Oryctolagus cuniculus: one gene and its partner. The protein of the gene in region 1 binds, or shares a complex with, the protein of each later gene. Links are inferred from orthologs where the notes say so. Each region holds a gene or a part of one and is shown on either strand. Other genes may lie near its edges. The genes, in order: NPR3 and NPPC.

Region 1 (4,294 bases):
TTTTATGTAGATGCGTCTTTTGTAAAAATTTTTAAAAGCAGCTTGAATTAAACAAATGAACATTCTCACGGCTTCTCCACTGTGAAGATTTTGGGACCACAGTGCATAATGTGCAATCTGAGAGACTCCGAGGAGAAAGCGTCTCCCCTAACAGCGCTAGCGGTGCCAGACAGGGGAAGGCGGTGGAGGGCGGCGGCCGCTGAGGCCAGCAGTTGCCACATGGCCGGACACCTCCGATGGCCTCTTCGCTGTCGCGGTGGAGGAGAGCCAGCGTGCTCCAGGGCCTTGGCCAAAGAAACGCGGCGCCCGGGGGGGGGGGGGGGGGGGGCGGTAGCACCACGGTTAGGCGTCGGGTGCAAGTTTCTGCCGAAAGAGGGCGTCGGTCTAAGACGAATCGAAAAGGGTCGACACCGACGCCCAGGCCAGCCAAAGGCCGTTTTAAAAACATTTTCAACTTCTTTTAACTTGTGAGCCTTCGGCGGCGGCATTCCCCGGCCCCAGCGCTTCTTGGGTCCCACCGTACGCCACTTGGGTCCAGACCCGCTGCGTCCCGCCCCGCCGCGGCTTCCCTGGGCGGTGGACCTCCCCACAGCGCTTCCGCAGCCCGCCTGCTCTGTTGTCGTCCCCGCGGCCGGTGGGGGGACTCGGGTCTCTGAGGCAGGAGCTTTCTTGGCACCGCAGATCCCCGAGCGCAGTGCCTCGAGCACCGAGGAGGCGAAGCTTTGGGAGCTCTGCGCGCTCGGGCTGGAGGGGAGCGCGCATCCCTAGCCCGGGACCCTCCGGGGGTCCCTTGGTCCAGTTACCTGGTGTAGCAAACATGGCCCCGGAGGACGCCCGGGAGATGCGTTTCAAGCTTTGCCGAACCGTTCTCTCTCACCTTCGGGAGCAACAAGTTTCGCTTTCAGGCTCTCAGCGAACCGGCGGGGACTGTGCGCGTGGGGACGCCTTGACCCCGGCGCCGCTGCGACTCCGCCGCGAACCCGCGCGGCTCAGAGAGAGGGGCCGGGGGCCGGCGGGGGCGCGGGGGACGCGCGGGCCGGCCCGGCACCCCAGGTTTGCAATCAAGCCGTCTGCACCGGGACCTTGGTTCTTGTTCCCTGTCCTTGCGCCGGGCACCGGGGAGGTCAGGTGCCGGCCAGGAGTTGGCGCGTCAGGAGGGACCGCGGCGGGCGCAAGGAAAAGGTGAGAGCCAGCGGGACCCCCGGATCTTTGCACCGAAACTACCCATTGCTAGGGCCACCTCGTCCGCCCCCCCCCCCCCATCCTGTTGGTTTTTTGAGGGGGCGGTGTGTGTGTGTGTGTGTGTGTGTGTGAGAGAGAGAGAGAGAGAGAGAGAGCACGCGAACATTGCCTTACTTTTCAAACACATTTCCTTTTCATAAACCCTGGAGCCGGAGGGAGCGTGGTCGGGCAGAGGCGGGCCGGGCCCGCAGGCGTGCGCTGCGCTGCGGGAGCTCTCCGCGGATGCAGACGTGGGTGGCTGCGTCTTGAAGGAAAAGGCAGCGGGCCAGCAAGGAGTGGGTGTCAGGACCCGGGAGCGCCGGGCGGGGAAGGGGTGCGGGGAGGAGCCCTGATGTAGGAATGCTAATGAGAGGCTCCCCCGGTCCAGCCTCCACCTCCCACACCCGCGCCCACCCCACCCGCTGGAAACACAAGCCCGGCCCGGGCGCGCCATGTGTGGTAACGCGCGCCGCTGCTGCCACGCTATTTAAACGCCGGCTGGGCATCCAGGAACCGGCGCGAATCAATGAGATCAAACGCGAGGGAGATGCACCGTCAATTACAAGCACTTGGACAAGTCTAACTTTTTTTTTTTCCTCAAAAAGCAACCTTAGCAACGCCCAAATAAGAAGCTACCTCTAAGCAAAATAGTATATGTATCAAGGGAGGGCGAATATATATATATTTATAATAAGTCGATGTGTATATTACAGACGCACAGGTTTACACTTGGTGAACTTTTTATTTTTTGCGAAAAACTAGTGACATTGCGGAGGACTCTTCCGCTCTCTCTTCGGGCGCGTTAGGGAAGGGGTATTCTGTTTCCTTGGAGCGCCCAAGGGGGCGCAGGGACCTCGGAGAGAAGAGTGGGGAGGAAAGAGGGAGGTGGGTGGGGGGCCGAGGGCGAGTCGGCGCCGAGGGCCAGCGCTTTCTGGCCGCACGATGCCGTCCCTGCTGGTGCTCACTTTCTCCGCGTGCGCCCTGCTTGGCTGGGCGTCGCTGGCCGGCGGCGCGGGTGGCGGTGGCGGGGGCGCGGGCCCCGGCGGCGGGCGCCGGGAGCGAGAGGCGCTCCCGCCGCAGAAGATCGAGGTGCTGGTGCTGTTGCCCCGGGACGACTCGTACTTGTTCTCGCTGGCCCGGGTGCGGCCGGCCATCGAGTATGCGCTGCGCAGCGTGGAGGGCAACGGCACCGGCAGGCGGCTTCTGCCGCCCGGCACTCGCTTCCAGGTGGCCTACGAGGACTCGGACTGCGGCAACCGCGCGCTCTTCACCCTGGTGGACCGCGTGGCGGCGGCGCGGGGCGCCAAGCCCGACCTCATCCTGGGGCCGGTGTGCGAGTACGCCGCGGCGCCGGTGGCCCGGCTAGCTTCGCACTGGGACCTGCCCATGCTGTCTGCCGGGGCACTGGCCGCCGGCTTCCAGCATAAGGACTCTGAGTACTCGCATCTCACGCGCGTGGCACCCGCCTACGCCAAGATGGGCGAGATGATGCTAGCCCTGTTCCGCCACCACCACTGGAGCCGCGCCGCGCTGGTCTACAGCGACGACAAGCTGGAGCGGAACTGCTACTTCACCCTCGAGGGGGTCCACGAGGTCTTCCAGGAGGAGGGCTTGCACACGTCCGCCTACAATTTCGACGAGACCAAAGATCTGGATCTGGACGACATCGTGCGTTACATCCAGGCGAGTGAGCGAGGTGAGCGGGAGCGCGTCCCGGGCCCTTGGTCCTAACCCAGCTGCTCTCCGTGGCTCTCCTCACGCACCGGTCCACTCCTCTGCGGACCCCATTGCCCTCTTTGGAACCGAGGATTCGGGGAGGGAGCGCGCGGGGATGGGTTCAGGCGTGCGCTTTCTGGCTGCAAGGACTTCTGCGGATCGCTCAGCGCAGCGGAGGGGTGTATGCTTAGGGTGCCCGGGAAGTGTAAGGGGCTTGGGGAGGAGGCGTCCGAGCCCGCCGCCCCGGCAAGCGCAGGTCTGACAGGTGCTGTCGAACCACCTGGGTGTTTTTTCCCTTCGTCTTTCCCCTTTGGCTGGCCGGTGGGGGCGCACTCTCGGCGCTCTGCGCCGTCCGGGGTCTGCAGCCTACGGAGGACAGAACTTGTCGCCCTATTTTTCTCCTGGCGTGCGCCCCTCTTAGAGCCGAGGCGTCGGCGGACGCTCTTGCAGCCGCGCGCCGCGGCTCGGCTAGGTCGGGTGCCCCGGTTTGCCTGGCTGCGCCTTCCACAGACCTCAGGTTTCTTTTAAAGGCTCATTGTATCACCCTTCTCATTCCCTGCATGGTCCCTCCAGTCCCTTATAAACGAGCTTCTGTGGTTTCCACCGAAAAGCCCTGCTATGTCTGGACTCAGGCGACGCTCAGTTGTCCCGGCCCCTCACCTCCCTGGCGCGTTTGGCGTCTCCGTCTCCAAAGCGCCCGGGGCTAGGCTTGGCAGGACAGCGCCCTGGAGCAGTGGACTCTGACCCTCTTTTCCCCTTGGCGCCCTTGCTGCCACCAAGTTTTCTCCGCAGGTCTCCAGAGGTTTGGAATAATAGCAAAACTGTCCAGAGAGCTCAAGGCTGGGGATAGTGGCCATGGCTACAGGGAGTGGTGGCGGACGCAGAATCGCGGCAGCCCCCGGTGCAGCCGGTTTGTCTGGAGGGTAGACTGGGCTGGCGGGCGGGCTGCGGCGCAGTGTCCTCCTCCTGGGATCTGGGCTGGGTGCGCGGTGCGCATGGAATCCCACCTCGGCTTCCTCTCGGAGCGCACACGCCTGGGTTGTCCGAGGTGTAGCCCTGGCAGAACTCCCAGCGACCCCTGGTGCCAGGAGCAGAGCTGAGCAGGCAAAGCGCTTGTCCACTGCTTGGCAGGGTTGGGCACCTGGGCGCGGCTCTGGGGGACAGCACTACCTGAGACTAGAAGCAGGACAGGTGAAGTGGGCAGAGAAACCATCGAGGGTGGGGCTGTAGCTATCCCTCTTCCCAATTTGGCCACCTGCGACTCGAGTGAACGCACCCTGTGGAGCGAAGAAGTAAGAGGTGTTGACAGTGGGGATGTGTGGCCAAGGTTGGAGAGTTCGAACTCTAGGCTGTCTGC
Region 2 (4,282 bases), on another chromosome or scaffold:
GGGTCTGTGGTTCCCCACTTCCGGTGGGAAGGGGACACTGGGGAGAGGGGCTGACAGAGCAAACAGCAGTGCCATTCAGCTTGGGGTCCAGCCGGAGGGCACCTCCTTCTTGTCTCTAGCTGCTTCCACGCCCACAGCTTTCTCTCCCTAAAAACGCTCGCCTGTGCTCTGTCCCCTGGCAGGGTGGGCTTGGCCACCTGCTCAGCAGCAGCAGGCTCACAGATTCCAGCATCTCAATCAATTTTTGGGTGCCAGGCTCACCACCTCCGGGACCCATAACAGAAAGACTCACTCCCCAGAGCCCGATGGACCAGACATCCAGCCCAAGGAGAGGAGGGGGTGAGCCAGGACAACGGCCACGGCCAAGACCTCTAGGAGCAAAAGCTCACAGGTGACCACTCACTGAAGATCCCTGCCCAGCCTGTGCAGGTGCACAAGCCTGAAGAGGACACCCCAGCCCAGCCCGCGCTCTGCAGATCCTGGCGGGAGTGTAGGCGCAGGCAGGTGCGCAAGCTGCAAACTTCGGCCACCTGCACTCAGAACCTGGCACGCTGTGTGCGGCCCATCCCGGCTGAGGGCCAACCTCAGAGCGGCGGCGGCGGGCACCCGAGGTCCCGGCGCCCTCGCACTGGCATCGCAGCCCTCTTCGCTCCCGTCACGAGCTCCATCCCTCGGGCTGCCCAAAGGCTCACGCTCTCTGCTAGGGAAGACTTGCGCTCCCCCCTGCGGCCTCGCGCAAACTCTGCTCTCGCCCGGACCTCCGTCCGGCCCCCTCCCCCGCATGCCCAACCTGAGTGCACCAGCGCGCTCCGCGCTCCCGCCCTGGCGAGCGGGTGAAAGGTGGGACCGCCACGCCAGTCCGCACCGGCCGGGTGCCGGGGGAAGAAGAGTCTGGCGGCAAAACCCACCGGCGTGGACTTCGCGCAGCGCCAACTTCCTGGCTATGGGACTTTGGGCAAGTGACTTAATTGCTCTGGGCCCGTCTTTGCAACTGCAAAGAGCGGTTCGGATCGCTTCCAGGTGCAGAGCGCCTGGTGAGGACGCGCGGGGGCTCGGCGTGCCAGGGCGCGCGCTCGCTGTCACGGGAGTTCCCTCATGCGCGCTGCTTTGCAGCTCCAAGTGCGGCCGGGAGCTGGCCGGCCAAGCCGCGGGATCCCTCGGGGGTGGGATGAAGCCCCCGCGGCTCCCCCTTCCCGGCCCTCAGCACGGCCGCGTGTGCGGTGCCATTGGCCCGGGCGGCCGGGTGGGCGGGAGGATGACATCAGCTGCAGGTTGGATTATAAAGGCGCGAGCGGAGCCGCGGGCTCAGAGCGCACCCAGCCGGCGCCGCGCAGCACTGGGACCCGCGCTCTCCCGGCAGCCCTGCCAGCCCGCTCTGCACTCGCCTGCCGGTCCGCCCTCCGGCCTCGCGCGCCCTCGGTGCTGCCCGTCTGCGTCCCTCGGCTCCGCCGGCACCATGCACCTCTCCCAGCTGCTGGCCTGCGCCCTGCTGCTCACGCTGCTTTCGCTCCGGCCCTCCGAAGCCAAGCCGGGGGCGGCGCCGAAGGTGGGTGCTGTCGCGGGGGCTCCGGGCCTGTGAGCCGCGCGGGAGGCCAGAGGCCTGGGACGATGAGGCGCGCTGGAGGGAGCAGAGCGGGCGGGCTGCGCCCCGAGATGTGCCGTCGGAAGCTGGGATCGGTGGCCTGCTCCCCCAGCCTCGGAGAACGTCCGTTCACGCGCGGCCTCCCTGCCCCACAAGCCGGCAGGAGGGAGGTCCGGGCGCTCCCCGAGGGAGCGGACGGCCGCGAGCACGCGGCAGGTGGACGCGGGCCGGGCGGGCCGGCGTCGGTGGGAGCGCGCCCAGGGCTTTGCAGGGACTCGCACCGGTGGGCGCGCCGGGCCGGAGCACCCGGGGCCCCACGGGGGCGCCCTGCGCTGCAACCGTGCATCCCTTCACCTGCCCACTCTTTTCTTGGACAGGCTCCACGGAACCCGCCTGGGGAGGAGGTGCCCGAGCCGCAGACTGCAGGCGGCGGGCAGAAGAAGGGCGACAAGGCTCCCGGGGGCGGAGGCGCCAACCTCAAGGGCGACCGATCGCGACTGCTGCGGGACCTGCGTGTGGACACCAAGTCGCGGGCGGCGTGGGCCCGCCTTCTGCACGAGCACCCCAACGCCCGCAAATACAAAGGGACCAACAAGAAGGGCTTGTCCAAGGGCTGCTTTGGCCTCAAACTGGACCGGATCGGCTCCATGAGCGGCCTGGGATGTTAGTGCGGCGACCCCTGGCGGCGGTGAGTACCACCCACCCCGCGCGCCCTGCTCTGGAGCCCCCCAGAGCCAAACCGCAGGCCCGCACGGCCGCGCAGCGATGGCTCGCTCATCCCCGGGCCCTTGGAGGGAGCCAGGTGATGGCCACGTGGGGTGCATATTTGCTGCTGCCACCCCACTTGCTCCCCAGTTTGCAGATGAAGAAAGGGAAGGATGCAGTGGTCAGGAAACTTGGGTAAGGTCAGGAGCGCACAGCCGGGATGGGCACACCTGGCTTCCTGGAGAAGCAGAAACAGGCACGGTGAGGTCCCGCCCACCTCTGAACTGGCAGGTGAGTTAGCAGTGTTGGGAGAGTCAAAAGAGCCCATGTGTGTTGGGAGGACTGAGGAAAGACATACCCACCAGCCAGGCTAAGTCTGCCTGTGCCGCTGTGCCGGTGGCCTCCGGCACTGGGCAGCCAGGACAGCTTGCCAGACCTGTTGTCCCTGCAGGGGGACAGACCTGGGAAAATACCTGCCTCTCGCCCAGCTGGGCGCTCTTGGGCATTCTGCTTCTCCTCTCTAAGCCCAGCTGTGGGCGAACTGGTCTGTCCAGGGTCCTGATGCCGCTGCAGCCGCCAGGCTCCGGGGGCCAACCACGGTGCTTGGGACACCATTTCAGGCAGGCAAAGGAAGAGAATGCAATAGACCTTACATCTTGCCCCAGCCTCAGACTGGACATGTCCCAGATGGAGCCCCTCGAAACCCTGTCCTCCACCCAGATGGTGCTCCAGGTCCCTGTCTCTGCTGTGGCCTCCTCCCCACCAACTTGGAAAGCCTGCGGGCAGCCCTGGCCAGGTGTTACCTGGTGACAGTATCCCTCCACAAAGATCCTCACTGCCTCTCTCTCTCTGCCTCCCTCCAATCCGGCTGCCTGCCAATGCCATGGAATCCCTTGGGACCCTGACATGCAGGTGTGTTAAGAGCAAACTCCTGCTGCTTTCAAGGCTTGTCCCCAGCTGGGCCTCTGCCACTGCCTGTCCTGCACCCAGCCCACGGGGCAGTTACTTTCCACCCAAAAAAAAGAGCCCGGTGGTGTGCACCCGAGCACCTCTCCGTGGATACCTTTTCACCTTTGTACCTGCTCACCTCCCATATTAAATCAGGAGCCACTTAAGGGCCAGATGTCAGCCCAAGGCAACCTAGGACTCACAGTGTCCCCAACAAGGGCTCTTCAACATGTTGTCAATGACCAGAGACATCTGCAGGCCCAAGCTCAGGGCTGTCTGTCCCTCTTGCACCTGCCCCGGGTTTTAACCGGCCCCCTTCCTCTCTGCAGCCAGATTTGACCGGGCTCCGACTCCTCAGTTCTGCACTGAACTCTTCCCCTGCCCAGGGAGGGAAATGATGCAAGCCCTTGGGGCCAGCCGCAGGGGCTACCATCATGCTGTCTTTGCTCTCTTGCATTCTGTCTAAACAATGACCAGATGGGGTGAGAGGTCAAGGTCAGGCTTTGGAATCTAAGCAAATGGCAGTTGTCCGTCTGTGGGTCCGTGCCTGGTGTGCCCATCTCACGGGTGCTGTGTTCTCCAGCATGACTGGCTACAGGCCCCGTGGGCGGTGAGAGATGCCGGGGAGCAGGGATCCAGGTGCAAAGTCTCCTCCCCACCTTCGCCCCGGGAGGTTGCCAAGCTCCAAGAAGCTCTGTAGGGCAGAGGAACACCCACACTGACATCCCTAGCCGTCCCCGCCCCACCTGGTACGAGACCAACACATTGTACTTGTGGGTTCCTGGTGGACAGTCCCAGGCCGTGGCCTTGTGTTTGCTTAAAGGAGAAGGACGCACAGCTGTTTCACCTGAATGAACCCGCCTGTGAGCCTGTGGCCACGGCTCCGCTCAGGGCCGACCTTGACTCTCAGCACCACCATAATGACCATGGCTGCTGGTTCCAGGTCTTGATTATAAAGTGCTAATGACTGAGATGGGGTGTGGCCGATACCCGAGTGAAGACTTTGCCCCAGGCACAGGAACATCACAGACACCTGTCATCTGCTTA

Evidence for each region.
Region 2: the proteins of NPR3 (region 1) and NPPC are in contact, whole or in part, in a crystal structure (PDB 1JDP), measured with the Homo sapiens proteins. The link is inferred for Oryctolagus cuniculus from reciprocal best matches to the Homo sapiens genes NPR3 and NPPC. Residues at the interface, in NP_001191304.1 of Homo sapiens: Asn110, Tyr138, Ala141, Pro142, Arg145, Ala161, Gly163, Phe164, His166, Glu170, Tyr171, Tyr204, Lys208, Leu209, Arg211, Tyr214, Phe215, Leu217, Glu218, His221, Glu222, Gln225, Ile233; in NP_077720.1 of Homo sapiens: Gly109, Cys110, Phe111, Gly112, Leu113, Lys114, Leu115, Asp116, Arg117, Ile118, Gly119, Ser120, Met121, Ser122, Gly123, Leu124, Gly125, Cys126.

The regions. Positions count from the first base shown.
Region 1 is NC_091445.1:58,794,142-58,798,435, forward strand, and holds the start of NPR3 (atrial natriuretic peptide receptor 3), read left to right. Parts: upstream 1-1,335; 5' UTR 1,336-2,163; coding exon 2,164-2,917; intron 2,918-4,294. UniProt on the Homo sapiens protein: Receptor for the natriuretic peptide hormones, binding with similar affinities atrial natriuretic peptide NPPA/ANP, brain natriuretic peptide NPPB/BNP, and C-type natriuretic peptide NPPC/CNP.
Region 2 is NC_091434.1:7,439,072-7,443,353, forward strand, and holds the start of NPPC (C-type natriuretic peptide), read left to right. Parts: upstream 1-1,288; 5' UTR 1,289-1,456; coding exon 1,457-1,546; intron 1,547-1,959; coding exon 1,960-2,250; 3' UTR 2,251-2,270; intron 2,271-4,282.